Linked DNA regions of Diceros bicornis minor. The main gene of each other region encodes a partner of the protein of the gene in region 2 in a complex. Links are inferred from orthologs where the notes say so. Each region holds a gene or a part of one and is shown on either strand. Other genes may lie near its edges. The genes, in order: MED31, MED19, MED13 and MED7.

What was found.
Region 1: MED19 (region 2) and MED31 share a complex: the UniProt entries of both Homo sapiens proteins name them as parts of the mediator complex. The link is inferred for Diceros bicornis minor from reciprocal best matches to the Homo sapiens genes MED19 and MED31.
Region 3: MED19 (region 2) and MED13 share a complex: the UniProt entries of both Homo sapiens proteins name them as parts of the mediator complex. The link is inferred for Diceros bicornis minor from reciprocal best matches to the Homo sapiens genes MED19 and MED13.
Region 4: MED19 (region 2) and MED7 share a complex: the UniProt entries of both Homo sapiens proteins name them as parts of the mediator complex. The link is inferred for Diceros bicornis minor from reciprocal best matches to the Homo sapiens genes MED19 and MED7.

The regions. Positions count from the first base shown.
Region 1 is NC_080757.1:13,085,012-13,093,358, reverse strand, and holds the start of MED31 (mediator of RNA polymerase II transcription subunit 31), read left to right. Parts: upstream 1-5,133; 5' UTR 5,134-5,213; coding exon 5,214-5,241; intron 5,242-6,095; coding exon 6,096-6,173; intron 6,174-6,460; coding exon 6,461-6,557; intron 6,558-8,347. Other genes in the region: C18H17orf100 (uncharacterized protein C17orf100 homolog), read right to left, coding at 4,377-4,760. UniProt on the Homo sapiens protein: Component of the Mediator complex, a coactivator involved in the regulated transcription of nearly all RNA polymerase II-dependent genes.
Region 2 is NC_080770.1:16,251,221-16,259,680, forward strand, and holds the start of MED19 (mediator of RNA polymerase II transcription subunit 19), read left to right. Parts: upstream 1-5,397; 5' UTR 5,398-5,480; coding exon 5,481-5,748; intron 5,749-8,460. Other genes in the region: TMX2 (thioredoxin-related transmembrane protein 2), read right to left, coding at 156-216, 4,900-5,088. UniProt on the Homo sapiens protein: Component of the Mediator complex, a coactivator involved in the regulated transcription of nearly all RNA polymerase II-dependent genes.
Region 3 is NC_080757.1:27,788,919-27,796,364, forward strand, and holds the start of MED13 (mediator of RNA polymerase II transcription subunit 13), read right to left. Parts: upstream 3,140-7,446; 5' UTR 2,981-3,139; coding exon 2,915-2,980; intron 1,071-2,914; coding exon 836-1,070; intron 1-835. UniProt on the Homo sapiens protein: Component of the Mediator complex, a coactivator involved in the regulated transcription of nearly all RNA polymerase II-dependent genes.
Region 4 is NC_080740.1:73,135,411-73,142,771, reverse strand, and holds the start of MED7 (mediator of RNA polymerase II transcription subunit 7), read left to right. Parts: upstream 1-4,327; 5' UTR 4,328-4,408; intron 4,409-4,471; exon of another isoform or gene 4,472-4,588; intron 4,589-7,361. UniProt on the Homo sapiens protein: Component of the Mediator complex, a coactivator involved in the regulated transcription of nearly all RNA polymerase II-dependent genes.

The DNA.
Region 1 (8,347 bases), on a different chromosome or scaffold from region 2:
TCTAGCCTAATAGCATGTGGAACCCATAAAACAGGAGGAACCCCCCAGAGGCTAGGTCAAGTACCCAGGGCTTGGTACTTGTACTAGCCATACTGGGATAGGAGCAACAGCAAGAATGGAGTAGGTATCTGGATCCCTGGGAGATCTAGATGAGGACTTGAGCCACATACCTCGCTGGCTGGGCTCTTGGTTCTTCCCATGGCTCATGTGATCTGGGGAAAGAGTATTCTATTAATGGCATTCTTCTATTTCAAGTATTTTCAACACAACTGACAGCAAATACATATGCTGAATTTTGTAAGCTGCTCTCAGTTTATATATAAATGAATGGAGTGTGAGGAGAATGACAGGTGCTGACTTGTACTTATTTAGTTTTTCAAACTAACCTGGTTGGCAACAACTGAAGGCAAGTCACAGCTATTAACTAGCTCAATAAATCTACGGGATTAGTAGATGGAGCCGTTAAAGGTTTTCTTGGCTGGGAATGGACGGTCAGCATTGCTCTTAGCGCCTTATTGTACACATACTGGGCCCAGCATTACATACCATGTCACAGACACAAAAGCACCCGTGCTCCTTTGGAGCTTCCAAGAGCGGACAATGTGGGGAGGATGATGACACGCAGCATGGGTAGCACACACTTATAATATGCAGCAGGTACACTAAAAATTATGACAGATATAAGTTTCTTTAACATACAGGATCATTTTAAAGTTGTGGAAACTGATGTAGAAAACAGTATATACAACAAATATCTTGTCACATCCCTTTCCTTCAAGTCTTGTCATTTTTGACACTTTCTTGCTCTGTGTACACCTCTTTGGCTTTCAGCTTTGCAACATGGATAAGGAAATTGGGAGGAAGAAACCTAGGTAAAACTCTTATCAAACAAGTATAACAAAAGGAAAGAAGCCACCAGAATCCTGTATCCTTCCAAGAGACTCAATCATCTAGAAACCAAGTCTTTGGCTTTTTCACAGTAATCTTCCCACCAGTCTTCTAGGTACTACTAACAAGGGGGATAGAAGCAGTTAATGCAGAAAGGTCTGGAAGGATACATACCAGGTTGCTGACATTAACTATTTCCAGAGGATGGAAATGGCAATGATGACAAATTATTAAATTTTTCTTTACACAGCCTTGAATTATTTCATTTGTTACTTAAGCACATATCACTTTTGTAATAAAAACATTAACACGGAACATTGTTGAAGAAAAGTGACTACTTTGTTCATTTAAAAAACACTGATTAAGAGTGTTCATATATAATGCACATGGTCTGCCATGTTAAAAAAAATTAGTAAGCTCACCAAAGACTGAAATTCCAAAGTCTAATTATTAGTCTATAGCAGAAGTTGTATGAGGCAGAAGCATGAGGGCAGACTCGGGGGCTTTACAACATTCCCCTGGCCTGAGCCCCTATTCTACTGGGCAGCCCAGCGCACTCCCCTGTAATTAAATGAAGTAAGTGGGTAACGACTCAGCACAGCGCCTGGCAATAGCAAGTACTCTGCCTCACCATGAGGTCCCTCAGAATCAAGGTCATTCACATTCTGCTAAACGGGACCTCCTTTCGTCCTCCGACAAATATCACATAAACTATTGAAAGCACGAATGTAGGGTCTCCTCAAAAAGCAACACATCCCTCTCCTCTGAGAGCTCCTGCCCTGACATCTGACAGAGGACACTGCTTCTAACCCTCTCCCCTAGCAAACCCTGCTACGAAGTGGGGTGCTTCCCCCAAAGGACCACTCTAACTTTCTAAGTTGCTAGAAACTTCAGGGTTTTTCAGCCTTGGTACTATTGACATTTGGGCCAAATGACTGGGCCAAATGACATTGGGCCAAATGATTCTTTGTTGTCAGAGGTGGGGGTGTGGGGATGACCTGTGCATTTTAAGATGTTTAATGGCATCCCTGGCCTCTACCCATTAGATACCAGTAGTATCCAACCCCCACAGTTGTGACAAAAACATCACCAGACATTGCCAAGTGTTACCTGTGGGGCAAAACTGCCCCCAGTTGAGAACCACTATTACAGATCAATTCAGTGGTTCTTCAGTCATCCCATGAGAACCCAGGACTAGGACTACACATTAATATCCATGCATGCCTCCCTAAAAAAACTCCCCAAAAAACATGAACTTTTAAACCTTTAAGACCTTCTTCCCAGGAGCAAAGTAATGTTGCCTGTGAAAGGCACATTTTCTAAAGCATTTGTCTGACATTTTAGTTCAAACTTTCTCCCTTATTGGTGGCTGCCAAAGGACTATAGGCAAGGCAAAATTAGGTAGGTCAATCCAGGCCCTGTGGGGTGAAACAGAAGGATGAGGGGTTCAGCCAGCTGGTGCTCCCTGAAGAACAAGATCTCAAATTCATTCATAAAATGAGCAAGACAGACCGGCAGATGACTGTCACTCAGTCCCATGGCTTTAAATACCATCTATGTACTGACGACCCCACATTTTACATTTTCAATCCTCACCTCTCTCATGGTAGCCAACCTCTTGCATTCAACCACCACTCAGTGTCTCCACTTGGGTATTTTATAGGCATCCCAAACTCAACATGGCCAAACTGAACTGATTTTCCCTCCTAAACCTGATCTTTCCCTGGTATTTCTCATCCCAGTAAATGGCACTACCATACACCAAACTGCTCAAGTCAAGTCACCCTTGATTCTTCTATTCCTCTTCCCTTCACCTTCGTATCCACCAGTCATGTCAGCCCTGCCTCCAAAACACACCCCTAATCTGCCCTCTCTTCTCTAGCTCCACTTCTTCCACCCTAGTGTGAACCACTTTCCTCTTACTGGACCATGGCATTAGCTTCCTAAGTAGTTCCCATTTCCTCTCTTGTCCGTCCCCTACATCAGGGTTTCTCAACCTCACACTATTGACATTTTGGACTAAGTCTGTTAGTATGTTAGTCCAAACTTAGGCCCCTTTGTTTGGAGGAGGGGAGCTGTCTTGTACACTGTAGAATGTTTAGCATCATCCCTGGTCTCTACACACTAGATGCACCACCCCTGCACAAATTGTGACAACCAAAATGTCTCTAGATATTGCTAAATGTCCCCTAGGGGACAAAATCACCCCCAGTCAAGAACTATCCTATATCCTACACTCAGAAGCCAGGATATTTTAAAAATGTAAATTGCATCATGTTACTCCCCTGCTGAAAACCCTCCAATGTCTTCCCATTGACCTTAGAATAAAATCTACTGTAGCTTACAAGACCCCTATGAATTGGCCCCTGCCTACTTCTCTAACATCTTCCCTTCCATACCATCCTCTCCCTGACTAAGCTCCAGCCACACGGGTCTTTCTGTTCGTTGAACATTCCAAGCTTGCTCCCATCCCCCCTTGGCACTTGCTGTTCCCTCTGCCTAGAATGCAGTCTCCCCAGATCTTTGCATGGCTCACTTTTCATCCATACAAATCTGAGGTCAAATGTTGCCTAATCACCAAGGCCCTCCCTGACCATCTTATCTAAAGAACCCCCTTACCTCCGTTCTCTATCACACTACCCGTTTATTTCCTTCATAGTGCTAATCACAATAGCAAACGGTCTTTTTCTGTCATTTGCTGTCTGCCTCTTCATCAAAGCATAAGCTCTTTGAGGGCCAGGACCCTGTCTCCTGCCTGGTTCACTGCTATAGCCCAAGTGCTAGAATAACACCTGGCACGGAGTGGGTTCTCAATAAATACTCCTTCCCTCCACCTTCTTAAACCTCAGGTCAGGTTTCCCTTCTAAGATTATGCTTGATTGTTGATGTTGTTGTTTACCTTCAATTTTCATTTTTAACTAAATTTGGCCTATGTTAAAAAGTGTGTGGGTGGGGGTACCATATACAAGGGCTTAGCAAAGGAAAATAACCGATTATTGTGAAACATAAACAAAGGCCAATGAATTAATGAATGAATGAAAGTCTGTTCCTTGCCTCTCAGATTTTTAGCAGGCATATAATCATTCCACTGGTCATGATTTCAGTTTGCCCTCTGTCCCTAAGTCTGAAGCAGTGAAGGTCGTCATTCAGGGACTATGAATCCAAAACTCACCTGGCTCAGAGGTTGAAACAGCCTCTTTGTCCATCAACCCACTTTAATACAGTATCATGGGCCTGAAAACTTTTTGTGCTGGCTTCAAGTTAAAATAGTTCACTGGGTGAAAGGCAGTGCGGTCCAAGGTGCAGCATGGTCAATAAGTGCTAGCTGAGTCCCGAAACCGCAGCTTGGCTCTTTCTGACACTGATTCATGGGCTGTTTCTATGACACCAAAGATGACTGGTCCACTTGGCAGCCGGCTGGCTGCACACTGGAGGCAATTCTGTCCTGGCTACGGGCCACGGCCCTTTCGTGGCCTCTGGGAAGTGTTTCATGGGGCCATTTTTACATTCTGGCGGGCAGCCGGCCTGTCCCGCCGGGGCGGGCTCTCCACGCGGTGCAGAGACGTCTCCAACCGCAGGGACGAGGCCCTGACGTGGCGGGAGGACGTTTCCGTGCGCTGCGAGGAGGTCTCCACGTGCTGGGAGGACACCTCGAGGAGGCGCGGGAGCCACTTCCCAGGGGAGGCGGAGGAGGGGGAGGGCCGCTCGCTGTGGCGCAGGGAGGTCTCCACCTGCCGGGAAGACGTCCGCACCTGCCGCGAGGAGGTCTCCACGCGGTGGGACGAGCTCTCCACGCGGACCGTCGATGTCTCCTGGTAGCGGGCGGTCTCCACCCGGGGCGAAGAGGGCTTTCCCCGACCGGGTGCGGCCATTCCGCGAGTGTAACGGGCCCAAGGAGGCCTGAGGCCCCGCAGCCCAGCGGTCCTCAACAGTCACGCCTCTGGGTTACGTCACAGGGTAAGGAATGACATCACAATGACGTGTTACGCCACCGCAGGCACAGGGGTGGACGAGAGGGTCACGACACGAGAACGTGGAGGCACGTGGGCCTGTGGGGCCTGGACTATCCCTTCAAAATCCTGGGCCGGGCCCCTGCGGCACTCCTTCGGCCCCCGCACAGGCCCCTCGCCTTTTTGGAGCCTGCGCGGGCGGGGCCGGGGCGGGCCTGGATGGGCGGAGCCTCCCGCCCCGGCGCGAGACTGTCCCCGCTCCCACATCCCACAGTGCTCCGCGACAGGAAGGGGAGCCGCGGCTTCCGGAACCTGCCGCGCCGCTACGCGGGGTTGCTGTGTCCGGCTGGTGGCGAGTTACCGTGTTAGCTTGTGATGGCCGCGGCTGTCGCTATGGAGACAGGTAAGCGGCGCTGGGAGTCGCGGGTCTTCGCAAATAGGACTGTCGCGGGCCCAGACCCCTCTTCTCGCTTCCCCGGCGGCTCCTTCCAGGCCTGACTCCCGGCAGGGATGGAGTTCGGACCGGGAGGGGGAAGCTGAGAGGTAGTTTGGCCTTTTCTGAGTTGGTTTGTTCGGAGATCCTTTTTCCCCACCTGTTGTTCAAACACCGACCACACTGACTTCCCGGCGTGGGCGAGACTAAGGGAGAGGACTTCGGTCTTAAACCGTTCCTCGATTTGTTTCTGCCTCTCAAATGAGCTTGCAGAAGTTTGAAATATCGTCGACAAAGTTGTGTGTTATTCTGCCACTGACGCTTCTCACATGCGACACACTCCTTGGTCTTGCGTACTCTCCTTTTCAGCTTGCTTTCTAAATGTTTTCCTGATTGATTTAGCATTCACCTAGCTTTGCTTAACTTAATTACTTAACAAGTTGTTGTAATGCATTACTGAAATGGGGGAAGGCACAGTTATTACAACCTACCCCAGTGGTCACTGTTAAAAATCCCTACATAGTGGCTCACAGGTGATAAATATTCTGCCCCGTGTGAGTTCCTATTTTCTTTGATGACGTCTCTTTAACTTGAGAGAAACTTCTCACTTACTCCTTTTAATCAGGGCTTTGCTTTTCTTAGACTTCTAAGGAAGGTTTATCTTCTCCCACACTCAGTGTAGGAAAACCATCACATGCCCTTCTCTATGCAGAAATGAATCTCAGCATTAGTCGTGTTTTTCTTTACTGCTGTTTTCTTTCTACAAATCAATATTATATAGAGTGATCTTTATTTTGGATAATTTTTGCTATCTTTTCTCCTAGATGATGCTGGAAATCGACTTCGGTTTCAGTTGGAGTTGGAATTTGTGCAGTGTTTAGCCAACCCAAATTACCTTAATTGTAAGTTGTTGAGCACCTCTTTGAATTAAGTAGCTATTAATGATTTCTGACAGAAGAGTTGCAATTCATGATAGTAACTACTTTTATACGTTCTCAATTGAACAGAATTAATGCTACACTTGTACTGGTATATATATAATTGAGCAAACTGTGACTTGTGTTTTGAATTCAGTATCTGTTGGTGGTGGGAATGTTATGTAAGTAAATTCTTTATGTTAGGAGTTACAAATCAGTAGTTCAAGGATTGGTTTGCTCTACAGATGTGTTTTTTTTCTTATGCCTTTCAGTTCTTGCCCAAAGAGGTTACTTCAAAGACAAAGCTTTTGTTAATTACCTTAAGTACTTGCTTTACTGGAAAGAACCAGAATATGCCAAGTATCTAAAGTAAGTTTAATTTTATAGTCCTAAATATGTGTATACTTTATTATACTCCAAAACACTGTATTCAACAGACTTCTTAGTTTCACATTGGAAAAAATATATTTTAAATCTCTCCACTTCTTTTAGTTGCCACCACCTTAATACAAGACACATTCATCTCTAACTTGGATTATTGCAGTAATCTACTCATGGGTTATCCCTGCTTCCACTCTTACCCCCCTGCCCCTGCCAAGCCAAACAAAGCAAAATAATTTTCAGAAGCCAACTTAATCTCTTAAAAAAATGTAAATCGCAACATGTCAGTTTCTTGCTTGGCACCTTTCAGTAGCTTCCCATTGCATGTAGAATCAAATACAGTCTCTTTTCTTGAGCTAAAGCCCTGTATATTCTGGCCCTGAACTGTCTGACCTTACCTTGTACCCCATCTCACTGGATTTCTGATCCCAAGGAACCCACAATCTATAAATGCAATGACATAGCCATAGGCTGAAAATTAAAGAACATAGAAAGGGGTACTTCTAAGGAAGGTTTCCGGAGGAGGTAACCTTACCTGAGTCTTAATAGCTGCTGTCTTTTTATAGGACCGCCTATGTGCCAAGCACTGTGCTTATTTAAAAAAAAATATATATATGTATATTTAGCACTTGGGTTGTGCAACAGATGTCATTTTAAGGCTTACTAAATTGAAAGAAGCATATTATAATCACAAACCTATTCCTTTTTAATGGTAAAAAATAAACTTTGAACTCATATTTCTGCTTTGTCTTAACCAGGTAGTTAAAAAGCAATAGTGAAACTTTTTGTCTTTTTTTCCCTAAACAAACAGTAAGTTGGAGAGGAAGATGTTTCAAGTTTGTACTTTATCCAAGTCACTTTTCTAATCTGTGTCTAAGAAAACAACTGATTAACGGAGCCCACATCCTCTTGCTGCCTGCAGGACCCTTTGCACCCTTACTGGCCCTTTATAAACAACCACTTATTCATTTAATAATCCAGAGAAGAGACTTTTTTATTAGATTGCAACATGTTATATGTATGTAGTTTTAGGGGGAAGAGGGAGAATCTCCCTCTGCCCTTTTCCTTAAGGTTCTTATGGCTGGCCAAATAATTAACAAGACAGGTTAGCAGGAGAAAATAATACCAAGTTTAATAACATGTATACATGGGAGAAAGCAGGGACACTGCGTTTCTCAACACAATAGCAGAAATTCTCGTTTTAAATACCATGTTCAGCCAATGACAAAGGAGGATTTTGGGGGTTGGGGGAGTCAGTTACAGGAGATTACCACTAAAGCACAGTAAACAAGAGTAAGGTTATTATGCAGCTTTAAGGCCTCAACTTCCACATTGATAAGCCTCTAGAAATGAGGCCATCCCCCTCTCTTCTCAAAACAGAGAGGGAGATACCTTTACAAATGGAGATTTCCCTTATAAATGTAAATGATTGTCTGGCAACTCCTCGCAGGGTCATCCAGAGAATGTGGCCAGAGAGACAGAACTTCTGATAAGAGGGGCTTGTTGGTGCCTTTCCTATTGTAACCTCCATCCTACATTATCTTTACAGCCATCATGATAGATCTGTTCCAGGAAGGAGCCACCATGTCAAATTCTTTAGGCAGTTAGTGGGGGAGGTCAAATGTCCTCAGAGAAAACAACCAAGGTAAAGAGATAGATTTCAGGGTGGCCAAATCTTGATCTCCCACATAGACCTAGAGACTCAGTGTTGGACGCTAAGTCTAAAGACACCATCAAGATCAGTTTCACCCACACATTGCTGAGATGGTCATCTACAC
Region 2 (8,460 bases):
AAGGAGGAAGGGAATAAAAGTCCAAGATCAAATTCAGCCTTGGCATGGAACGAGGGACTAGTTCACCAAATAACAACCCTCTCATAACATGAATGAAAGCACTTGCAGAGGCATTAGGCCTAACCTTGAGAGACTAAGAAGCAGGCTAAACTTACTGGATCTGCGGTTCTTCATCATCACAATGGCACTGAGAAACATCAAGATCTCTACTTCTCTCTGGAACAGAATCAAAGTGACAGGAAAGCCATGAATAGAGATGATTTGGGTGGGCAAGGAAGGCAAATATGGGATAAAAACCAACAGAGATCCAAACTGGGAATGGTAATGTTACTGCACAATGCACATAAAAAAGCCAATAATTACACCACCAGCTTTTGAGAAAAGAAAAGGTTTTACTGCAAGGTCAACCAGCAAGGAGACAGGAGGCAAAGCTCTCAAATTTGTCTTCCTCATTCAGGGTTTGGGGTGAAACACAGGAGGTTAGGGAGAACAGGCTGGTATGTGGAAACACTGGCGGGGCATGTTTCAATCGGAGGGCTTTAAACATTTACGGTAAGGTGTGGAAGGGGCTTTATCATTGGATCTTCCTAGACAACGGACTCCTCGCTTCTGATAAGAGTCCGACTTGCAAGTTCCGGTCATGTCCTAGTCCTTTGGTTCCGTGGTGGGGGAGAATCTTTGGTTCTGGTGTCATTTCAGGTCAAGATTTTCTCCTCTGCACGTGCTCTGGCTACGTGACTTGCAACTTTTTTTTGCACACTGCCTCTGAAAAATAACTCTTAATCACTCCTCTGTTGATAAGAAGGGGTCAGTTCGAACTGGTCCTAGTGGGCCCATGGTTACAGCAACAATAAAGAAATAACTGGAGTCAGCTAAGGTATAATGGGAAAACACCAGTCAGATCTAGGTTCAGGTTCTACCCCACCACAAACTGGCTGGTGCCTTTCAGTAAATCACTTAACCTCTGACTTTGGTTTCCTTGACTGAACAAGATCTTTTTCAAATTGCTCTTGTGAGGATTAAATGAGATAACTGGTATGAAAGAATTGTATAAAGTATATGGTGTAAAACTGTAAGATATTACAACCAACTCAGTGTGATCCTGGAAAAATAAAACTTTTCCAGGGAATTTTCTCAGTAATATTCCATTAATACAATATACGGTTATTCAATTTGTTTGGTTTTGCTTAACTTAAGTCATTCCTTTCCACCTAATAATCCTCGTGATAATCCATGCACCTTTAATTTAATTAGAGAACTGAAGGAGGGCTTTCAGAGCTCTCAAAGGCCCTTCTCAGTACCCTTGGCTTATAGTTCTTTCTCACCTTCTAGAATGTAAGCTCCATTATGAGCAAGTGAGACAGACAATAAACATGACAAAGAAACAAACAAGACAATTTCAGAGTAAAGACCACAATGAAGAATAGCAAAAACCATGTGAGAAAAAACATGGGAGGAGGAGCAACTATAGATTTGATGGTCCAAAGCCTCCATACCTTTTGTTTGTAATACAGGGACCCAAATCATTACTGCAGACAGAACCGGTCAACAGCAATTTACAGGAAGGAGTCAGGGACCTAGGTTTTTAGCCTCAATCTCCAACAAAAAGTAACTGACTAGATTTAGAAATGGACATGTAAAGTGGGGGTTAAGGAAGATGACAGACCTTACTAAATATTATACCTCAGCAAAAATGAAGAAGAGTTTCCATGAATGAAATTGGTTTAGAATTGGGATTTACAATTGTGGAAAGATGAATTTTAAAAGGGAGCTGTGGTCAATCAGAAGACCAAAGATAAGACTAAAAGGAATATTCTCTAAAGATAGAGAATGGGTCTATGGCAAAGACTGGCTATGTATACTCCAAACCTTATTTCCTTTGCCTCTTGGGCATATTGCAACTAGACTCTCAGTCTCCTTGCATCTAGGCAGAACTGTATGACTAGTACTCCTGGACAGAATGTGAGTGGAAGTGATGTGCCACTGCGCCTAGGCAGTTAAGAAAGGGTGTATCCTTGCATTCCAGCTTTCTTTCAGCATCCGCTGGCTGGATGATGCTAGGAAGGCCATAGGTTGAAGACAGAATGAGACTGGGTTCCAGAATAACTGTGTGAAGCAGAGGTCCCTTGGTTGTTCTGCTTGTTCATTCATTGTTTTGAAACTTTTTGTTATAGAAAATTTCAAACACATACAAAAGGATAGAGAGGATACTGAAGAGTAACAGAATATGCCACCCCAAAATATGTCACTTTGGCATAAGGATTATTTTGAGCCTGAAGGCAATTGAGAAGTAGATAAAAGAAAAGCTGCCTACTCTCCCCATTTGTCTAAAAGCAGGACATAAATTTTCAAAGGTATCCCTCCAACCCTCTCTACCAGGAAGGACAAAAGTTAATCAAGGGAGGTAACTTTAGACCCTATCAGCCTGGAGACAGCGCCAGAGCAATCTACCTAGCAAACTAGCCTTTACCTACCATTAGTTTACTTTCCCACAGTCTGTCGCCCTTGGAAGCCTAAAACTGCTTTCCTTTGTCCAGCCATTTCTTGACAAATTTATCATTCTTTGCTGAAGACGCTGTATAAGTGGAGTTCTAAGCCACCCCTTTGAGTTACTCCTTTTCCCCTGGTATCTCCCATGTATACATGAGACATACATGTTAATAAACTTCTATTTGTCTTTTAATTATCTAGTCTGTCTTTTATTACAGGGGTTTCAGCCAAGCCCTCAGAAGGGTAGAGGGAAAATTAATTTTCCTCCTCACAATACTTTAATGAACCCCTATTACTCAGCTTCAACAGTAACATTTTGCCAAAATGGTTCTATTTCATCTATGCTACCCACTTTTTTTGCTGGGGAAACTTAAAGCAAATTCCAGCGATATCATTTCACCTATAAATACTTCAGTGTGTATCTCTTACAGATAAGGACTTTTTTTAACAAACCAAAATCCCATTATCATACCTTACACAATTAACAATAATTCCTTACTGTCATCTAATATTTGGTCATTATTCAAATGATCCCAATTATCTCAAGTTGTCTTTCTACAGTTGTTTGTTCAAATCAGGAACAAGCAAGCAAGATCCACGTACTGCATTTGGCTGATGTGTGTCCTTGTTCTTCCTTAATCTCTAATATATCTGCCCTTCCTTTTTACCCCCCAGCCATTTATCTGTTGAAGGCATTGAGTCACTTGCACCGTCAACATTCTTGCTTTTAAGATTTGGCTGCCTTCATACTCATGGTATGTTTTTTTCTAATGATGATCCTCCATCTCCCATATTTCTTGTAAAGTGCTAATGAAATCTAGAGGTCTGAATACAATAAAATCCAAATTTTTTGCCAAAAATGTATCATAGGTGGTGCTAAGTACTCCCCACTGCATCACTTCAGAGGACACATTAACCTTTCATCTGATGGTTTTAGCATCCACCGATGATCATTGCCTCGATTTATTATTTCATTGGGGCTACTAAATAATTTTTAAATTCTATCATTCCTTCTGTATTAACCCAAATTCTTATATTAAGAAATCAACATTCTCTTATCAATTATTTGATTACTCTGAAACACAGTATATCTAAGAAACGTGAAATGCTTCTTTCCTTTTATTTAATAAAATAGAAATAAACTTTTGTTCTGTTAAGCCATTGAAATTTTGAATTTTACCTGTTATTGCTAACATTATTTACCTTAACATCCTAACTTCCCAATCACCAAGGTAAATCAGTAAAACACGTATTTTCCGGGAAAACAAACACTGGCCATAAACCCGAAGTAGTTAAAAAAAAAAAATTCTATCAGAGTAATAATAAAATATAAAACCTTCCAATATTTTGCATATTATTAGACGAGTATACAAAGAAATTAATTGTATAAAAGGTTCTACATTTATTAAAATCTTTATTACTATCCACTTATATTTTTGAGTTCCATTTTGGTTAAAGTGGTATAGAATATCAGACAAAGATAGGATCTTTTGAAAGAGCATGGCAACATTTGAGCTAATTGATAATACTGTCTGGGAAAGGACAGACAAAGCATTAAAAAGTAAACAAGAGACGGAGGATAAAAGTAAAGGAGTAGGTTCTAGTAAAGGTCAAGACTCATTTGAGGAGGCTGGAAAACAAGATGAAAACTCAGGATGACCTTCCTTCCTCAGAACACAGATGCTGCTATACACCAGAGGGCACAGAGCTTCCATTCATTTTTCTGAGTGGTCCCTCCATTCTTAGTCAGGAAGTACAGCAAGAGGCTTGAGATAGATTTCTTTACAAGATATTTTTTACAATTCCTTTTCAATAGGCTTAACAATTTTATTCATTTTTGCATTCTCAGGATGCAGCACAGTGCCTAGCATACTGCGCGCACTCTGGAAATGTTAACTGAATTAAGAAATGGCTGTGAGTGTGCAGGTACTATGGCCAGAAGAGTGGTTTCAAACCCCAGGCACTCACTCGTTGTGTGACCTTGGGCAAGTCGCCAAACCACGCTGAGATCAATTTCTTCATCAATAAAAAGTAAATACCATTTGCCTTGTTTACCTCACTGGCTCTCAATAGGCTCTCCATATGAGCAGCACTGTGAAACACTGTACATGGGTCTTGTTAGGTAGGGCTATTGACAACTATGAATGGTAAGATGGAAAGAACCCTGGACTCCAGAGTCAGAAGACCCAGGCTGTCTTCTGTGCAGACTAACCCGCTGTTTTCCCATCTTAATTAAACATGCAGAGGTCTAGAGCGATGACGGTCCGACCCTACACGCTAATGGTCTGGAAGTCCGCTACAGCCTCGGAACCTCAGGTGTTCTCAAAAAGGGGAACCTCAAGGCCCCCGGATGCAACCGCGGGGGCAGGGAAGTCAAGGTCGCGGGGTCCTCAGGCGGGGGTCGCTCACCCAGTCAAAGTCACACGGGTTGCCGTCTTCGCGTTGCGTGGGGAGACTGTGGCAGAGCGGGGGCAGCTTCCTCACGAGTAGAAAGGCCACCGAGAGCAGGGCTGACAGAAGGTAGTAAGGTCGGGCCAGCCATCGTGAAAGTCGCGGCACCGAATACACCAGAGCAATTAAAGGCGCCAGGACCGCCATCTTTTCGGCCGTTGCGGAGCCCGCAGCTCCTCGGCGTCGGTTGGTCAGGTAACCGTCTCTCCCCACATTGGGCCTGGTCTCGGATGCACCGCCTCTGGACCCGGAATTAGATCTAATTGGACTTTACGGTGGGTAAGAACTGAGAGAGGGATCTGATACTTTATTGGTCAATCTAGCTGTCGCTTTTCTCCCGCCCCAAGACATTTTATTGGACATGTGACTACGGCAAGCGAAGATATCAGAAAGAATTTAATATGGTTAGACAGCGCTTCCTGAACGTTCTCAAACAGCGACGGAAGTAGTTGCCGGAAGAAAGTGGGCGGGGCCCGAGGCAATCCAATGATAAGCGGCTCCTGGAGGAAGGGGGCGGTACCCCGTAAAAGGATTGTCCAATGAGAATCACCAACGCCAGACACCCGAACACCGCCGGCGCGGAGGGGAAGATGGAGAATTTCACGGCGCTGTTCGGGGCTCAGGCTGACCCACCACCGCCCCCAACCGCACTCGGCTTCGGACCGGGAAAGCCTCCACCCCCGCCTCCCCCTCCTCCGGGCGGGGGACCCGGCACGGCCCCGCCCCCCACCGCAGCCACGGCCCCTCCCGGCGCCGACAAGTCAGCGGCGGGTTGCGGTCCCTTCTACCTAATGCGGGAATTGCCAGGTGAGTACTAGGCCTGGCCGAAACCAGCCAATCAGATCATAGCGATGAAGTGAGGGGCGTGGCTCTCAGCCCGCCGGCGGAGGTGAGGCGTAACCTAGGCAACGCGTTCTGGGACTTTGGAGCTCTTAAGTCCGAAGGGTTCTGAGGATTCACAAGCAAAGGAATGGCATGAATTCTTGGGATGGATTGGGGATGGGAAAAGAATGCATCCCCGTGATCATCTTTCACGCCCTGTCCGGCCCCTGTCCCTGACACTGGTTTATGGCTCCCTAGAAGCTATCCAGGGTTCGAGTTTGGAACTCGAGAGTCCTGATTTAACATCCCTGCGGACGTAAGGTTTTAGTTCCAAGTCTGCCACAAACTTGCTATCGGTTTGGGGCAAGCTGCCCTCCTCAGGGCCTCAGCGTTTCCTCAGCTGTTTGAAGAAGTGATTCGAATTGAACAACATTCTTTCATTCAAAAAATTATTTTGTTGAGCACCTACTGTGTACCGAGCACTGTTCTAAATGCTGAAGATACAGCTGCGAACAAGACTCACAAGATCGTTGCCTTTTTTGGAGTTTATATGTCAGCGAAGGAGGCAAAAAGTAAAAAAGATAATATCAGACAGTGGTTATTGCTACAAGGAGAAAACGTGATAAAAAAATTGAGGGGGCAGAACTACTTTAGCTAGAATGATTAGAGAAGTCCTCTCTGAGTACATTACATTTGAGCTAAAATGTAAACACAGAGAAAGAGTCAGGCATTTATGAGTGGGAGGGAGGGATAATTCTAGATACAAGAAATGAGATCAGAAGCCCTGATGTGAGAAGAACCTTGGAATATCTGAGGGACCAAAGAGCAGTTGGTCTCCAGTGAATTGAACATAAGAAAGAGTGATAGGAGATGAAGGTGGGAGGAATAGGCAGAGGCCTTGTAAGGCATTTAGATTTTAAGTTCAGGGGGAAGCCATTTTAACACAGGAGAGTGACATGATCTAACTTATTTTTTATTTTATTTTATTTTTTTGGTGAGGAAGATTGGCCCTGAGCTAACATGTGTTGCCGACCTTCCTCTCTCTGCTTAAGGAAGATTGTCACTGAGCTAACATCTGTGCCAGTCCTCCTCTGTTGTATATGTGGGACACTGCCACAGCATGACTTGATGAGCAGCGTGTAGGTCCGTGTCTGGGATCCGAACCTGCGAACCCTGGGCTGCCAAAGCAGAGGGCATGACCTTAACCACTACACCACAGGGCCAGCCCCATAACTTATTTATTTTTAATCATTCAAGCAGCTACATTAAGAAAGCAAAGTGAGAAAATCAGTCGAGAGTTACTGCTTAGTAGTCAGGCAAAGAGATAATGGCTTGGACTAGGCAATAGCAGTGGAGGAGAGAAGTAAGTGGATGCAGGATAAATGTTAGAGGTAGAGCAGGAATGAAGGACTACATATAGAAATGAAGGAGAGAGGAATTGAGAATGATTTGGAAATTTTTGGCTTGAATGATTGGGTGGATGGTAGTGCTAAGACCAGGAAAGAACAAGGATGGAAGGTGGAAACAAGATTTCCACCTTTGAGGAGGTGGAAATCAAGAGTCATCTTATACATGTTAAGTCTTCAAGATGCCTTTCACTTCATCCCATGACCTACTGCCACATCAAGAGTTGAGGGAAATAATAATGAATGTTGGTACAGTACTTTGAAGTTGACAATGCAGTTATATATGTCATAGTATTTAATACTTAGAACAGCCCCTCGAGATAGGCATTGTTATTGCATTTTGTAGTTGAAAAAACTGAAGCACAGAGAGGTTGACTTTTCTTTGGTTAGTGGTTGATGTCTACCAGCAGTTTCTTTAACCTTACCTGTTCTGATTGTACCTTTTTATATCAATCACTTGACAGATATTGAATATCTGTTTTGAGCAAAGGCTGGATGTGTAGGAAAGGGGACATGTGATGAGAAGGGGAGAGAGATTAATAAGCCCGGTCCTTGCTTTTAAGGAGCTTATTTTACTTAGGGATGCAAAGTTGTGGTCTAAGGATAAAGTAGTGACTGTTTCTTGTCAAGGCCAGTCTCATTACTTTGTGGTCATGACTCACATACAACTATTAAGAACTACATCATGGTCTTCAAAATGTGTCCCTTGTTATCCAAGTTAACAGCAGGAATAAGTTGTCACTTGAGCTAGACCTTGAAGAATTCATATTAGTGAAGAAAATTAGGAGGAAGTTTCCTATAATTAGGTCAATTTTCCTAAAAGAAATTTCCTAAAAGGAAACAGTATGAGGGGTGTTTTTTTCAGGAGATGGTGGAGACCCATTTGGATGGATCAGCAGTTTTGCACAGGGCAGTAGTGGTTGATCAGGCCCCAAAGCTAAGTTACGGTAAGATGTATTTTACCGCAAATGCCAAAGGAATTTGAGCTTTTTCCTGGGGGTAATAGGAAACCATTGAGATTTCTGAACTGAGGAGTACTGCTTCTAAAGATATCTGCAGGGGCTGGGCCGGTGCCATGGTGATTAGGTTTGCGCACTCCGCTTCGGTGGCCTGGTGGTTCGTGAGCTCGGATCCCGAGCACGGACATATGCACTGCTTGTCAAGCCATGCTGTGGTGGTGTCCCACATACAAAATAAAGGAAGATTGGCACAGATGTTAGCTCAGGGCCAATCTTCCTCACCAAATTAATTAATTAATTAATTAAAATAAATAAAAATATCTGGAGAATGT
Region 3 (7,446 bases), on a different chromosome or scaffold from region 2:
CATTTACATTCCTATCATTAAAGATTCAGTTAACGTTGACTCCTACAGCCTAAAGTAAACACAAACTTCAGTAATTACATGAAGAGCTATAGTTTCTCTTTCCAAAGTAACATTTGGTTCCTAAAAGTCAAGAAAATAAGATGGAAGTAATCTTAGTCATCTGCTCATAATAAAATTACTTCTGTGTAACTTTTTAGATTACGACCCCCGTGTCCTATAAAAGCTAAACAAGTTGGCAGTCATCTCATGTTAATGATAGTCTTTGATAGAACAGCATCTAAAATAAAAGAATCACTTTCCAAGAATAACAAAATTAACATATGCCTTCATATGTTAATAAAATAACAACCACAAATAACTAACAAAAATAACTACATGCCTTGAAAAAACACATGAGAAAATTACAATACATTTCTAGATACTCCTACAATTGTCTGCATACTTGTACAGAAGAGAGCAGTGGCAGAAATGACTCAAAGGTGAATTACACTTGGCTTCAAAAGTATTATACGACTGCGTTAGGAACTTGATGCTCCCCGATTTCATTTTCCTTAGGTTAATGTAACATGCCTTCCTTGGGCCCTAACTGCAAGAAATTCATGAGGAAGGTGGGTGGTGGAAGAATAAAGTTATTCAAGGCTTAAAAAGTCTGCCATAATATGGATAATTTAAGTAAAATAAATAACCACAGCGAAACAAAACATGAAGCTGACTTTTTATCTGGCTTCATACCTACGAGTGTTCCTCCAAAAACATCTTAATTTGTAATACAAATGATTTTTGGGTAACGTATACAACATTGCTATATCATTAATTAGAAATAAGTTGCTTTCACCTGATAAGTCATGGTGAATAAGGTCAGCAAAATTGGGGTCTTCACCCCACCAAAATATCCACAATTCTCTTCTTCCAGGTCTTTGATCTCGCCGCCAAACACCAAGTACATCTGCCTTAAGGCAGCGACTAAAACTGCTCAAAATGGGGTCTTCCTCAGTCACCGCAAACAGAATAGGGGCAGAAGTTGGGCCTTGCCATACATATCTTTTCCATTTAATTCCTGTCAAGTCAGCCTGAAGGAAAGAAAGCATGATTTTTTTATTATTGCACATTCACTCAAAAAAGTCAACACTACTCACTCTTAAAATTCCTTATTTCATTAAGACATTACAATTTTTCAATATGTGCTTAAGATATTGAAAACAGATTGACTAATTTAAAAAATGCTTATTAATTCTGATAATTTAACAACCAAAAATTTTAGGAAAACAAAACAGTTAAAAAATTAACACTGACGTGTCACTGAATAGCAAGTCAATAAATGTGTCCCAAGGAGAAATAAAAAAAACTTAAAAATTTAAATATAAACGTGTACTTGAATACTGCACACACAGAAGACATTTCCTCTCTGTCCTAAATTCTGTTCTAATTGGTCACACTTAATCCTTGGTGTCAAATTTGTAACACAAAACTAATTTTTAAAGATATGATTCCATGTCTATAGAAGTCATGGCTCTAATGAAAAGAAATCTGAACTATAACGGAAAAAATTCTTGTTAACTCTCCACATATCACTTTTAGGAAACGTCAAATAGGTGTTCACAAAGAACTGTCAGATTTGTGCTAGTCTATCTTCAAAGAACCTGATCCCAAAAGTGCCAAAAATAGACTTGAGTCGGAGAACACAGAAATGTAAAACCCGCTGTATGTCTTATTACATCTGAAGAGATGTTGATTAATGGACATCGTACAGAAAACATCTTATAGGGAAAAAGGGAATTAAAGATCTCAACTTAGCATCATGAAAGAAATTAGACAGAGGGAATTCACTAATTCTTTAATCTAACTTAAACAAGGTGCAAAGCATAAGGTGCCAAAAATGAAACTGCTGATACATGACTGGCAGTTTACACTTGCCAACTAGTTGTGCTCCGCCCACTCAATTCACTTACCTATCACACACTCTTGTCAGTATTTCTCATAGCACAGAGAAAATGAAAAAAGAAAGTCACCGAACTTTAAATCATTGATGAAGCTAAGCTACTGTCCAACTGAGGACTAAGTATTTGCAACAGTTGGTACTTCTGAAAGTCTTAACAACTGGATCTTCCCAGACCTGGGCCAACCTACACAACTGTCATCTCCATAGCCAGCTTCCCCAGACTTTTCAATAAAAGGAGGAGCGTCCTGCTCAAAACATTCTAAAAACGCAAGCAAAACAGACAAATATAGCAATATCTAGTGCAAAACCATAGCACCTCCTCCATTAGTCCGCTCCACTCTCACACAAACATAATGTTCTAATAAAAGCAAGATGGCCAGAAATTGTCAAAATGGCAAACTGTTTTCAAAGTTTAAAGAGAAAACATATGAAATGGCATCTACTGGTTTTTACACAGAGGTCTGAAGTCATCCAAGAAAGAAACCAACCCTCTGTTTGATTCATATAAAAAAAAAAAAAGTAAAACGAAAAGAGGTTTTAGTGCATAAGTTCCGGGGTCCTGTTTATTGGGGGAACCCAAATTACCAAAGTGGGGCAGAAAGGCAGTGGGAGAACGGGTAATAATAGAAAGTGTGAAGAAGGGATACAAAGTCAACAAGGAGAAAAGCAACAGTTAAGCACGAAACAGAAGGAAATGTTAGCGTCCTGCCAGATAAGAAGCCCAAGTTGAAGACAAGACTATGGTGAGAAAAAAAAGAGTCAGAAACAAGACAAGAAAAAAAGCCAACACCGCTAAAACAGAGCCCAGGGCAGAGGGCGAGCGAACGCGCCTCCCGGGGCCGGTGCGGAGCTCCCGCGGCGCCGGCTCGGGCCGGGCCTAGCCCGGGGACTCGGGATCTGGATCCGACCCGGCCCCCTCCCCCACGGCCCCAGGGCGCACCTCGCAGCCCCCTCCCCCACGGCCCCGGCACTCACCAGGCAGAAGAGGTTACAGTGACAATCTTCCAGGCTGGCCCCGTTCGGCACGAAGGAGGAACTCATCGTCCCTCACAGCAGCCGCCGCCGGCGCCACAACCCACCATCCGCCATTACCGCCGCCTCCGACCAGAGAGAGAAACACAGACACCGGGGAGGGCGGGGGGGTGGTGGTTGGGGGGGCGGTGGAAGAGGAGGCCGCCGGGCCGCCCGCCCTCCCCACCCACCCCCCCGCCGCCGCAAGCAGCCCCCGCCGCCCGGCACCCAGCCGCCCGGGGCCGAGGGCCGGAGGCGGGAGGGCCACGCCGCGCTCGCCCCGTGGGCCGGACTGCGGCCGCCGCGGAGCCCGCGGACGCTCGTCCCTCTCTGGGGGACAGAGGGGACGTGTGCCCCTTCCACAAGTAAAATAATAAATTACACAATAAATAATTAAAATCAAGTCCGAAAGGGCAGAACCCAAGCTCTGGAGGGTTCTCCTGGGGCGGGAGGCGCCCGCAGAGGGGCGGGAAGGGCGAGAAGCCGGAGAGAAGCCCAGGCCCCCGGCGCGGCAGCGGCGATGTCCTTAAGCCCAGAGTCTCCTCAGTGGCGGAGGTGGTGGCGGCGTCTGCGGGCTCAGACCATTCTCGGGCTGTCTTCGTGTTGTCCCTGGGCCAAGCTGGCCTAACGTCTGCGCTCCTGCGGCCTCACCGCCCGGACGCCGTAGTCTCCCCCATTTTGTGGGCCCAGCGGGCGGTGTTTTTACCCCTTTAATCCGAATTCACGGGTTTTCCCTTCGCTTTAATGGCGGCCACAGGGACCAGCTCGCCCTCTCTGCTCGCCCATTGGCCGCCTTGAGGTCACGTGGGCCCGGGCTCCGTGGGGAGGGGAAGAGAGAAGGGAGTGAGGGAGGGCCGGGAAGCTTTCGGCAGAGGCGGTGAGCCTCGGGGACGGGGCAGCCCGCTGGTGGCTGCTAAGATAGCGCCATCTGCTGGGTGCTCCGGCCAGTGTAAGACGATCGGGGCCTTGGCCCTAACTTTCTCCTTGCCGGGGAATTTACAGTACAAGAGGGTTCACATCACAAATCGGAGAATTACGTGGAAATCAGCTTGAATTCTTTGGAAGAGAAAATGTTGCAAAAATTCCACGGCATTCTCATTTATTCCACGAGGCCGCTGAGGTACAGCGCAAACCCCTGGGCCTGGGACGATCTGAGATAGGACTCAGCCACTTAAAAGTTGTGATATTAAGAAAGAAACATAAAGGAAACAATATAACCTTGTGGTCAATAGCCTGGGAGTTAGAGCCACACTACCTGAGTTCAAAACTTGAGCTAGTCACTTACCTCTTTGAGTCTCAGTTTCCTCATCTATAAAATGGGGAAAACATACCCCCTCCTCATAGTGTTGTTGTGATAATTGAGTTAATACAAATAAAGCACATAGCCCAGTGCCTGCCACAGATAAGCATTGTTAAGAGTTATCTATTACTGTGTCATCATTTACCTCACGTGGTTATCGTGAAGAGTAAGTGAACCAGTGCATGTAAAGTGCTCACTGGAGTGTAATCTCCGTTGGAACCGGGACTTTGCTTCGTTTACCTCTGTATCTCTAGTGCCTAAAAAAGGTTCCTAGCACACAGTAGGCGCTTGATATTTGTAAATTTGCAAATGAATGAGTGGTAAGAAGTAGGAACCAAATACATAAAATGTTAGTTCCCTGCTCCATAAAACACTCAGTTCTTGACTGGATTACACTTCAATGCAGGAGTTCAAACATTTTCCCTGGGAGTTTTAGAAAGGAGAGAAGGAAAAAGACAGAGAGAAGGGAAGGGAGGGAGGGAGGGAGGAAGGGAAAAGGAAGGAAGGGAGGACGGAAGGAAAGAAGGAAGGAAGGAAAGAAGGAAGGAAGAAAAGAAAAACTAAAAGTGATTCAAAAGTTAGAAATAATGAGTTAGGACTTACCATAATTTTAAATCATAATTGCCTCTGTAAAATAAATGGTGGACTCTTCCATGTCACTTCTTCAGCCGTGGAATGAAAAGCATTCCTCATCCATCCGAGATCTTGAAGCCAAAAGCCTGTAAAAAAAGTTCTGCCACTTACTGGTTGATCTTGGATCCAATTTGATTTTAGATCAAATTAATTTCTCTTACTCTCAGTTTTCTCATTGTAAAACGGGGGTAATAAAAGTACTTTTCTCATATAGTGCCTGGAAAATGAAACAGTGTAGGTATAGGGCTTGCCATAGTGCTTACTAAATGTTAGCTATTAATAAACTTTTAAAAATCGTTATTGAGCACCTGCGTGCTCAACTAAGTGTGTTCCTGGTCTGTGCTAGGCCTGGGATACAAATACGGATAAGACACCGGCCTGTCCTTCAAGGTTCCTGAAGAGAGGCAATAAAGGAACTATTTCCCACAGAATAAGATAAAATACAATGGAAGTAATTGCTTGAATAAGGTATGTATCAACTATGGCACAATGGAAGTGCAGGACAAGGAGCACCAAAGTCAGAGAATGTGTCTTAAAGTAGGTAGCACTTGAAATCAGATTTGAAGGATAAAATGAATTCTTATAAAGCCCTTTGAAGCAGTTAAATCTTATTAAACCTAATTCAGATCCAAAGGCCACATATCAAAGTCAATTATACAACCAGGACTAATTCAATTCAGGAGCTCAAATCAACTAAGGTCCACATCCTTTCTAACTGAGTGCCAGCACCAGGAGACAGCAATCCCCAGACCCAATAAGGTAAGAGCCCCTCTGCTCATCTCTCTTTCCCTGAAAGAATCCTCAGACCTTTGTGCCCACTACTTTTGTCACTCTGATATGTACTCTATCTACCACCTCTTATTTTATCCAAAATGTAGCCATCCTCTTTAGAAGTCTTGCCGTCCATTACCCTGCCCCCAACTTGAGCACCTGTCTCAGGACTCCAGAGACAGATAGAATCTGCCAGAAAACCACGAAGAGCAGAGTAACATTTGATTGACCTTTCATTTGAATGTCAATCTTCTCAAAAAGAAGGGAGAGATAGGAGACAAGAAGGGAGGAAGACCCAGAGGAAAAAGTCTGAGAAAGGATCACGGAAAGGAGCAGGACAGAGGGAGACAGAGGGAGAGGGAGGGGGGGAGAGAGAGAGAGAGAGACGAAAAAGCAGAAGAGAGATTGAGAGAGAGAATGGAGAAGTGCAAGTGGAGAAGAGGGACACCAACTGTGAGGGGAATGGAAACATCATGGGGAGAAAAACAAAGAGCAATATCAGCACACACAGAACATGTCAGTAACCAACTACATTCTCTTAAAATGACATTTTGTGTGATTTAAAGAGTAATGGAAATAAATAAAAAACTGTATATGCACATTGTCAAAAGTTTGGAAGATATGGAAAAGTATAAAGATGAAAAATAAAATACATAATCAAAAAATGCCCATAACATTACCACTCATAATTAACCATGTTTTAACATTTTAATGTATTTTCTTCCAGACTTTTCCATATATATATATATTTTTCTACATGGTTGAAGTCATACTACATATACATTTTACTACACATGCTTACTGACCATCTAGTATGTGTCACGTCATATATGCACAAAGCACAGGATATATGAGGAGCTCCTTGTCTTGCTAGATATGGCACTTGGACAGTTGGACCAGCTGGGGTCAAAACTCCACACCACGCCTGCTAGCTCCCTAACTTCCATTTACTCATTTGTAAAATGTGTATGTAATAATAGCACCTAAATGTTAGAGTTGTTGTGACAATTAAGAGATGATCCAAGTAAATAAGAGAGCCAATCAGGAATGTTAAAGTGAATCTTAGATGTTGCCTTGGGTCAATAATCACCTATTGTCTTCAACATTTTGAAATGTGGATTCGCTCAATGATCTACATTTAAAACTGTTTCTTTAACTCCTTCAGCCTTTTAAGGGCGCCATTCTGAAAGGGATAGTGGAGGCACCTGGCATCCAGAAAGGGTGACAGAGTTACATCACTTGAGACAGAGCAAGTCCAGGAAAGGGCGATGTCTAACCTTAGAACTAAGGCTCCCCACCTGATTCTGAAAAATCCCAGGATCTAGAACAGCACTGTCTAGTAGAAATAACTAAATTTTTTTCAGTAGCCACATTAAAAAAGATAAAAAGAAATAGGTGAAAATATTTTTAATTATATATTATATTTATCCCAATGTAACAGAAATATTATTTCACATGTAGTCAATATAAAAAATTATTGAGATAGTTTGCTTTTTTTTTTTTACCAAACCTTTAAAATCTGTGTGTATTTTCACATATAGCACGTTTCAATTTGGACTAGTCATATTTCAAGTGCCCAAAAGCTACATGTGGCTAGTAGCTACTGTGTCGGATAATACAAGTCTAGAATCTAAAGCTGAAAGCTAAGGACAAATTAAGCTGTGGAGTAAGTGGTCTTGAGCCCGGGGACAATATTGATTTTCCAAAGGTCATGTTAATGGTTTAATGTTGTACTTAATTCAATAGGAAAAAAAAAAAGGCCGAGGAGTTACAAACCATTTTATTTAGTGAA
Region 4 (7,361 bases), on a different chromosome or scaffold from region 2:
ATAGTAAGAAAACAAATAAGCCAATCAAAAAATGGGCAAAAAATTTGAAGGGACAGTTCACCAAAGAAAAGATACATATGGCAAATAAGTACACAAAAGATACTCAACACTAGGGAAATGTAAATTAAAACCACTACATAGCTATTAGAATTGCAAAAAGTAAAAATAAAAAGGAAAATACCAATTGCAATTGCAACTCTCATAGTTCACTGGTAGAAATGAAAAATGATACAGCCTCTTTAGAAAACTGCTTGACATTTTCTTATATAGTTAAACATATAACTATTAGAACGCCCAGAAATTCCATTTCTACGTAGTTACTCAAAAGAAATGAAAACATATGTCCATACAAAGACATATATGAATATTTATAGGACTGAAAATAACCCAAATGTCCATCAACTGGTGAATGAATAAATGAATTACGGTACATCTGTATAATGGCATACTCCTCACCTATAAAAAAGGAACAAACTATTGATACATGCAACAACACTGATGGACCTCAGAAGTTTTATGCTAAGTGAAAGAAGCCAGAGACAAAAGTCTATATACTGCATTATTCCATTTATATGACATTCTGGAAAAGGCAAAACCATATGAACAGAAATCAGATCAGTGGTTACTGGGGCTGGGGGCGACGGACAGTGATTGAGTACAAGAGGGGAACAAAAGAAATTGCTTGGGGTTATGGAAATATTCTATATCCTAATTCTGGTGGTAGTGGTTATATGACAGTATATATTCATCAAAACTCATCGAACTCTACACCTAAAGTTAATTTTACTGGATGTAAATTACACCTCAATAAACCTAACCTTAAAAAACCAACAGAGTGGAGAAAATGTGTGAGTATTTCTGCTTGCCACTTAGGATCAAACGATAAATAATGATGATGTTTATAATGTGCCAAGCTCCTAAAACAGGCAAGATGCCAGTTACCATACACCCCTGCCAGTTTCTGCTCCTCACCTCCACCCACTCTCCCTTTGCTCATTCGTTAGAGAGCACACAGACTCCCTTCCTGTCTCAGGCTCTTTGCACTTGCCGTCTCCCAGATGTCTGCACAGTTGACTTCTTCTCATCACTTATGTTTTAGCTCCAAAGTCACCTTCTGGGAGAGGCTACCCTGATCATCTTCTATAAAGTAGCTACCCCCCAACTCACATAGCTACCACATTATTTTGTATTATTTTTTCCCCTATAGCCCTTATCATTATCTGAAATTCTTATTTGTTGGCACGTTGTTGTCTGTGTCTCTCCATTAGAAGGCAAAGCTTCTGTCTGTCTTTTTTACCTTCTAGAACAGTGCTTGCCACAGTAGATGCACAATAAAGATTTGTTGAATGGCTGTATTCCTTGTTAAGCTACAGAAAGCATCTTTAAGGAATAAACTTTCCATTCAGATTCTGGAAAATGCCACCTAAACAAATGTTTATTGTATGCCATATTCTCACTAGCCCCTCTCATGATATACATTTCATATCATTATTCATGTGTAGTTTACTGTAAAGAACACTAGACTGAGAGTCAAATGTTCTAATTCTAGCCTTGATCCTGCCACTAACGGTAAGACCCCGCACCTTTGGGTCAAGTAATTCCATTTCTAGAAATTTACCTCAAGGAAAAAAATTGGACACATGCACAAACATATGCACTAGGATGCTCATCCAGAGTATTAACAATAGCAAAAATTGGGAAGAAGATAATTTTACACAATGGGGCTTTGGCTAAATAGATTGTGGTCTATCCATCAATGTCATACTGTGAATTCATTTGAAAATGATGATTATATTCATTTTGTTACTTATTCAATAACTATTCCTTGAGTACTTGCCAATTTCAGGCACTGTTCTAGGTGCTGAGAATGCAGCAGCAAATGAAACAAAGGCCCCACACTCACAAACCTTGTATTTTGATGAGGAAGAAAGACAATAAAAATAAATAAATAAATCTACTACATAATATGATATCAGATGATGATAAGTTCAATGAAAGAAGGATAATGCATAGTAAGGGGACTGGGGGCATCCCCCAAGAGAATGGTTGGGGGCATGCTATTTTATAGTGACCAGGGAAGACTTCTCTGAGAAAGTCACATTTGACCAGAGACCTGAATAAAGTGAGGAAGTGAGGCATATGAATATCTGTGGAAAGAGAGTTCCAGGCAAATGCAGTGGCTCTGAGGTAGGAGTATGGTTGGAAAGCCTACAGCTGGAGAAGAGTGAGCACGGGAAAAAATCATAGGAAATGTTATTGGAGAAGTAGCCAAGGACTCGATTTTGTAGGGCCTTATATACGCCATGGTGAGACATTAGATTTTATCGTAAATGTGACAGAAAACCTTGGAGAATTTTGAATAAAGGAGTGGTCAGATCTGTCTTATATTTTAAGAGTGTGATAAACAGGCGAAGTGAGGACAGAAGAGAAGCAAAGAAACCAGCTAGGAGGCTATTTCAGAGGTCCAGGGGAGATAATGGTGGCATGGACTAGGACCATAGCAGCAGAGATGGTGAAAATTAGTCATATTTGGGACTTTTACTTATTTCTAAATAGAACTGATACAAAAGGCTGGGATAGTATATTTGAAGGAGCATGGAAGAAAGAATGGTAAAAGATGAATCTTTAGACTTGAGCCTTTGCAATTGAGTGAAGTGCACTTGCATGAGTAAAGATGTACAATACTGTTGGATAAAGGGTCTGAGTGCAAAGCAGAGGGTGTTGCCAGGGCCTGGAATCACCTGGATATTATCACCTGGATGATATCCCACTAATAAGTGAGAACTGCGTCGTGGGGCAATTCAAATAATCAAATGTGCCAAAAGCTGCTGAGCATGCAGTAAAAAGTGGACTAAGAATGACCTCTGGAGGTCACAGCTGTAGGTCACAGTGGTCTCAGCGGCGAGGAGAAAAGCCTGATTGGAGTATGCTCAAAAGTAAATAGATTTCTCCAACAAATAAATTGATGTAGGGGGAAAATTGAGATGAGTGAAGGAACCTATAGATTAAAAGGTAATTAAAAGACACATCAGTCAGTCACAAATGAGTGTACTTCATTTGGATCCTGAGACAATTGGTATCCAAATACTGACTTGATTTTGATGGTATTAAATTGTTGGCACCACTCACGTAAACAGTAATCTTTACTATACATATTAAAGATTTTGGTCTTATTATCTTCAAATTAAACCAGGGTATAAGGTGTTGCTCCAGTCTCTGATGCATATCCAGTAAAACAAAAGATTTCCAGGAACTAAGACCGAATCCCTCCAACCATGCGGAGACCAACCGCCTATAAACTGGCCTGTAGTCTTGGTTCTGTTGGTTCTTTTTAGTCAGCTATCTTCCCCCTCGCTAGCAAGCTATAATAAAACTCTTTCTCTCCTACCACCTTTCCTCTCTACTACTGTCATGCCTTGCGTTGAGCAGACGACCCCCCTTGGGCAGTAACATAATTATTAATTTATTTTTAAATGAGACAATAGTTCTGTGGTTATGTGAAAAAAAGAAAGTCCTTATCTTTTAGAGATGCATGCTGAAATGAAATAATGTCTATACGTAGATAATTGTTCAAGTTGGGTGATGAGTACACTGTTCTCTCTACTTTTGTAAATATTTGGAACTCTCCATAATAAGTTTTTAAAAAACTAAGTCAAAGAATTTTATTTTAAAGAGGTTAGGTTGAGAACTTTTATCAAAATAACAACCTTATTTTCTGTGTGCAACATGCTCTTGTAAGATTCCCACGAATTTAGAAATTTGTGACACTTATGAAAGTAACGTCCAAAGGAAACCTTTAAGTTTGATTTTGTTTTTAAATTTGTTAATTTATTGCCTGGAAATATAATAGACATGGCTGAATTCCTAAGTGAAAATAAAAGTGAATGGACGGTGAGGAAATGGAAATTGAGACTATTACTGATCTCCAATCATGTTCACAAATATTTCCAGACTGAAAAAATATATAAACAGCATATAGAGTCCATCTCATTTCTTTAAATGTTATTTTTGACAGTGGGGTTAGAGTCGATATAATTTTTTAAAATATCCGCTTACCTGTATTTTCTAACTTTTATGTAAGGCATATGGCTGCCTTGTTTCATTTCAAGCGTTAAAAAAAGAAAGAACGGAGATATCACCTGCTCCTTTTACTGATAGAAACCCTCCCCAGCTGCAAACCCAACCACCGACCCCACCGCAGAATTGCTGGGGTGGGCCGTAGGAAAGAGATACGCGCAGGCGCAATAGCGAGCCATGGGTCTGAGGCGGGACTAGAGCTTCGGTTAAAGGAAAGCTCTTTCAGCCAATCAAGGGGCAGTGTCGGTGGCTTCTTCCTGGAGGAGGAGACCGGAAGTCGGATCTCGGCTGCGGTGGCGAAAGCGGCTGCTAGACTATACCCAGCACTGAGGTGAGTGGGCGGCGACGGGTTGGGGCTCTGTTTTGCGTGCGTTTCTTCTTCCGGACCCCGCGGCTTCCTCAGGGCGGGCTGGGAGTGGGGGGAGTGCTCGCTTTCTTTCTTCTCTTTGTCTGTCGGAGAGCGCGGCTTTCCCGCCGCTCGAGGAGCCCCGGGTGGACAGCCTGGCGGAAGGTGCCTTCAGGGCGGCGGGCTCCGGCTTCCTCCCTGTGGGGAGGCCGGGCCAGACTGGAGGGTGGGAGACCTGGGTTCTAGTCCTGCGCCGCTGGTTTGCTAGGCTGTGTGGCCTTGGCGAGTCATTCGGCCTCTCCGGCGTTTGTAAAATGAGAATAACCCTCCTTGCCCTTCTTCTCCAGGGAGCGATCGTGAAATCCGCTGAATTAATGGGGGGCGGGAGAGGAGGTAGATCTCAAGCCTAACGTCAGATTCATCTGCAGAGGTTTAAAAACTACATTCCAGAGGCCTCATTCACAGTAGACAAAATGAATCAAATGTCTGGGGATGGGACCCCAGGATACCTTTCTTTTTTGGTTAAACCCCCCAGAATGGAACAAACACTAGAAGGTGGATCTTGAGTCTGATAACCGGCTTTGATGGTTTTACTGAACACCTCCATCGCCTTTGAAAAATTCAATCAAAACAAGTGATAGAAAAATAAACATAATTTCTGTAGTATGTCAGGTTCCTTTTGTGCAGTTAAGAGGCTTCATAGTCTGCTGGTTTAAGGGAGCTTGTACTGTGCAGCTCAAAGGACCAAGGATAAAAATTCCCGCTGTGCCACTTACTGGCGTTTTGATCCCTGGTGCAAGCACTTCCCCTCATTGAGACTTGGCATCCTCATCTTTAAAATGAAATTGATGATACCACTTAACTCATAGACTTGTTATGAAGAGTAAGTAAGAGAGGATATAAAACAATGGTACCTGTCACGTAGTTGACCTTTGGAAAATGGCAACTTAATTAGAGGAATGCACGTGGTGCTGGGAAGCACAAAACGACTCCCAACCTAAAAAGGCTTGAGTGGGGTGAAACCTGGGCTGTCTAAAATTTGTTTTGAAGTACCAGGTCAATGCTAATTCTCTGATTTTGGTAATTATGTGCTTATAAGAGAACATTGTTTTGGGGATACGCACTGAAGTATTTGAGGGTAAAGAGATGAGAGACCAGTAAGGCAAATGAGGGGAAAATGTTAATATTTGGAGAATCTGGGTGAAGAATATGGAAGTTTCTTTGTACTGTTGATACAACTTTTCTGTAAGTCTGAATTTATGTTAAAAAGTTTTAAAAAGTTGATTATGACTGTTTGCAACTATCATAAGTGTGTTGTAAGTAAATGAAACAGTACACAGTGTTTATAACCTCCCACCCCACCCCATGTACTTGCACCCCTTTTACCTTAATGGCTGTGTTGTATTATGTAGATGTATTTTGTCCAGCCCTCATATTGATGAAATCATGAGTTATTTCTAACGTTTCCTGCTCTTTTTTCAAACAGGGCTGCATTAAACATCCTTATACACATTTTTGTGTACTTGTACCAATGTTTCTATAGGATAAATTTTTCGGGATAGAATTATTGGTTCAAAGAATATCAGCATTTAAAATTTTGATACTGCCAAATTAAATTCCAAATATATATTTGTTTCCTTTCCTCTCAGTTGTATATGAGACTTCCTCAGATTCTCTTAGGTGGTACTGATCTACCACCTAAGAGTATTGTGTGGTGGTGGTGATGGTGGCTTCTGTGAGAGCTGAAGGGAATGGATGCTCTCCACCAGAGGCGACTTCCCTGCAGGGCCAGAATAGCTAAGAGCCTGCTTCTGAGATTGAGATGACCACTCTGAAGAAACTGAGAGGAAGGAGAATGTGACCTCTGCGGGAATCTGGGGCTTGCCACATGGAAGGTGTTCTAGTATTTGTTGAATGATGGAATATTTGAAGTCTTGATAGTCTGATAAATGAAAAGTATTCTTTTTTTTTTTTTTTTTTTGTGAGGAAGATCAGCCCTGAGCTAACATCCATGCCAATCCTCCTCTTTTTGCTGAGGAAGACTGGTCCTGGGGTAACATCTCTGCCAATCTTCCTCCACTTTATATGGGATGCTGCCACAGCATGGGTTGACAAGCAGTGCCTCGGTGCATGTCCAGGATTGGAACCCAGGCCACCAGCAGTGGAGCACGTGCACTTAACCGCTACGCCACGGGGCCGGCCCAAAAGTATTCTTTTTAAAATTTGCTTTTAAAAGTGTATTAGTCTGGGGGCCGGCCCGGTGGCGTAGTGGTTAAGTTCACACACTCCTCTTCTGCAGCCCAGGGTTCACAGATTTGGATCCCGGGTGCGGACCTATGCACTGCTTATCAAGCTATGGTGTGGCGGCATCCTACATATAAAGTAGAGGAAGATGGGCATGGATGTTAGCCCAGGGCCAATCTTCCTCAGCAAAAAGAGGAGGTGGCAACAGATGTTAGTTAGCTCAGGATTAATCTTCCTCACCAATAAAGAAAAAGGTATTAGTCTGAATATTTTCTAGCTTTTATTCAGCATTTGTATTTTCCTCGTCATCTTTTGTCTATTTTTTTAATGTAGATTTTTTTTTAAAAAAACTCATTCAGTGGACCTTTATTGAGGATCTAGCACCTTCTAGGCATTGTTTGAGGTGCTGGATTAGAGTTGGGAACAAGATAGGCACTTCCTGGAGTCATAGTCCTTTTCTTCTAGTGGAGGTGGAGTCAGGCAATGCATTTTTAAAAAATCAAAATAAAATTTTTAGTATTTGCCCTTTGTTAGCTTGCAAGCATTTTTCTCCCAGGAAAATGGATTATCTTTTAATTCTGCTTATGATATTTTCCTGTATGGAACTTTTAAATTTATTTTTGGTAGTTAGATCTGTTGGTCTTTTGTAGTAGCCTTGTAGTTAGTTATTTCTTGTCTGTTTTCCTTGATAGAT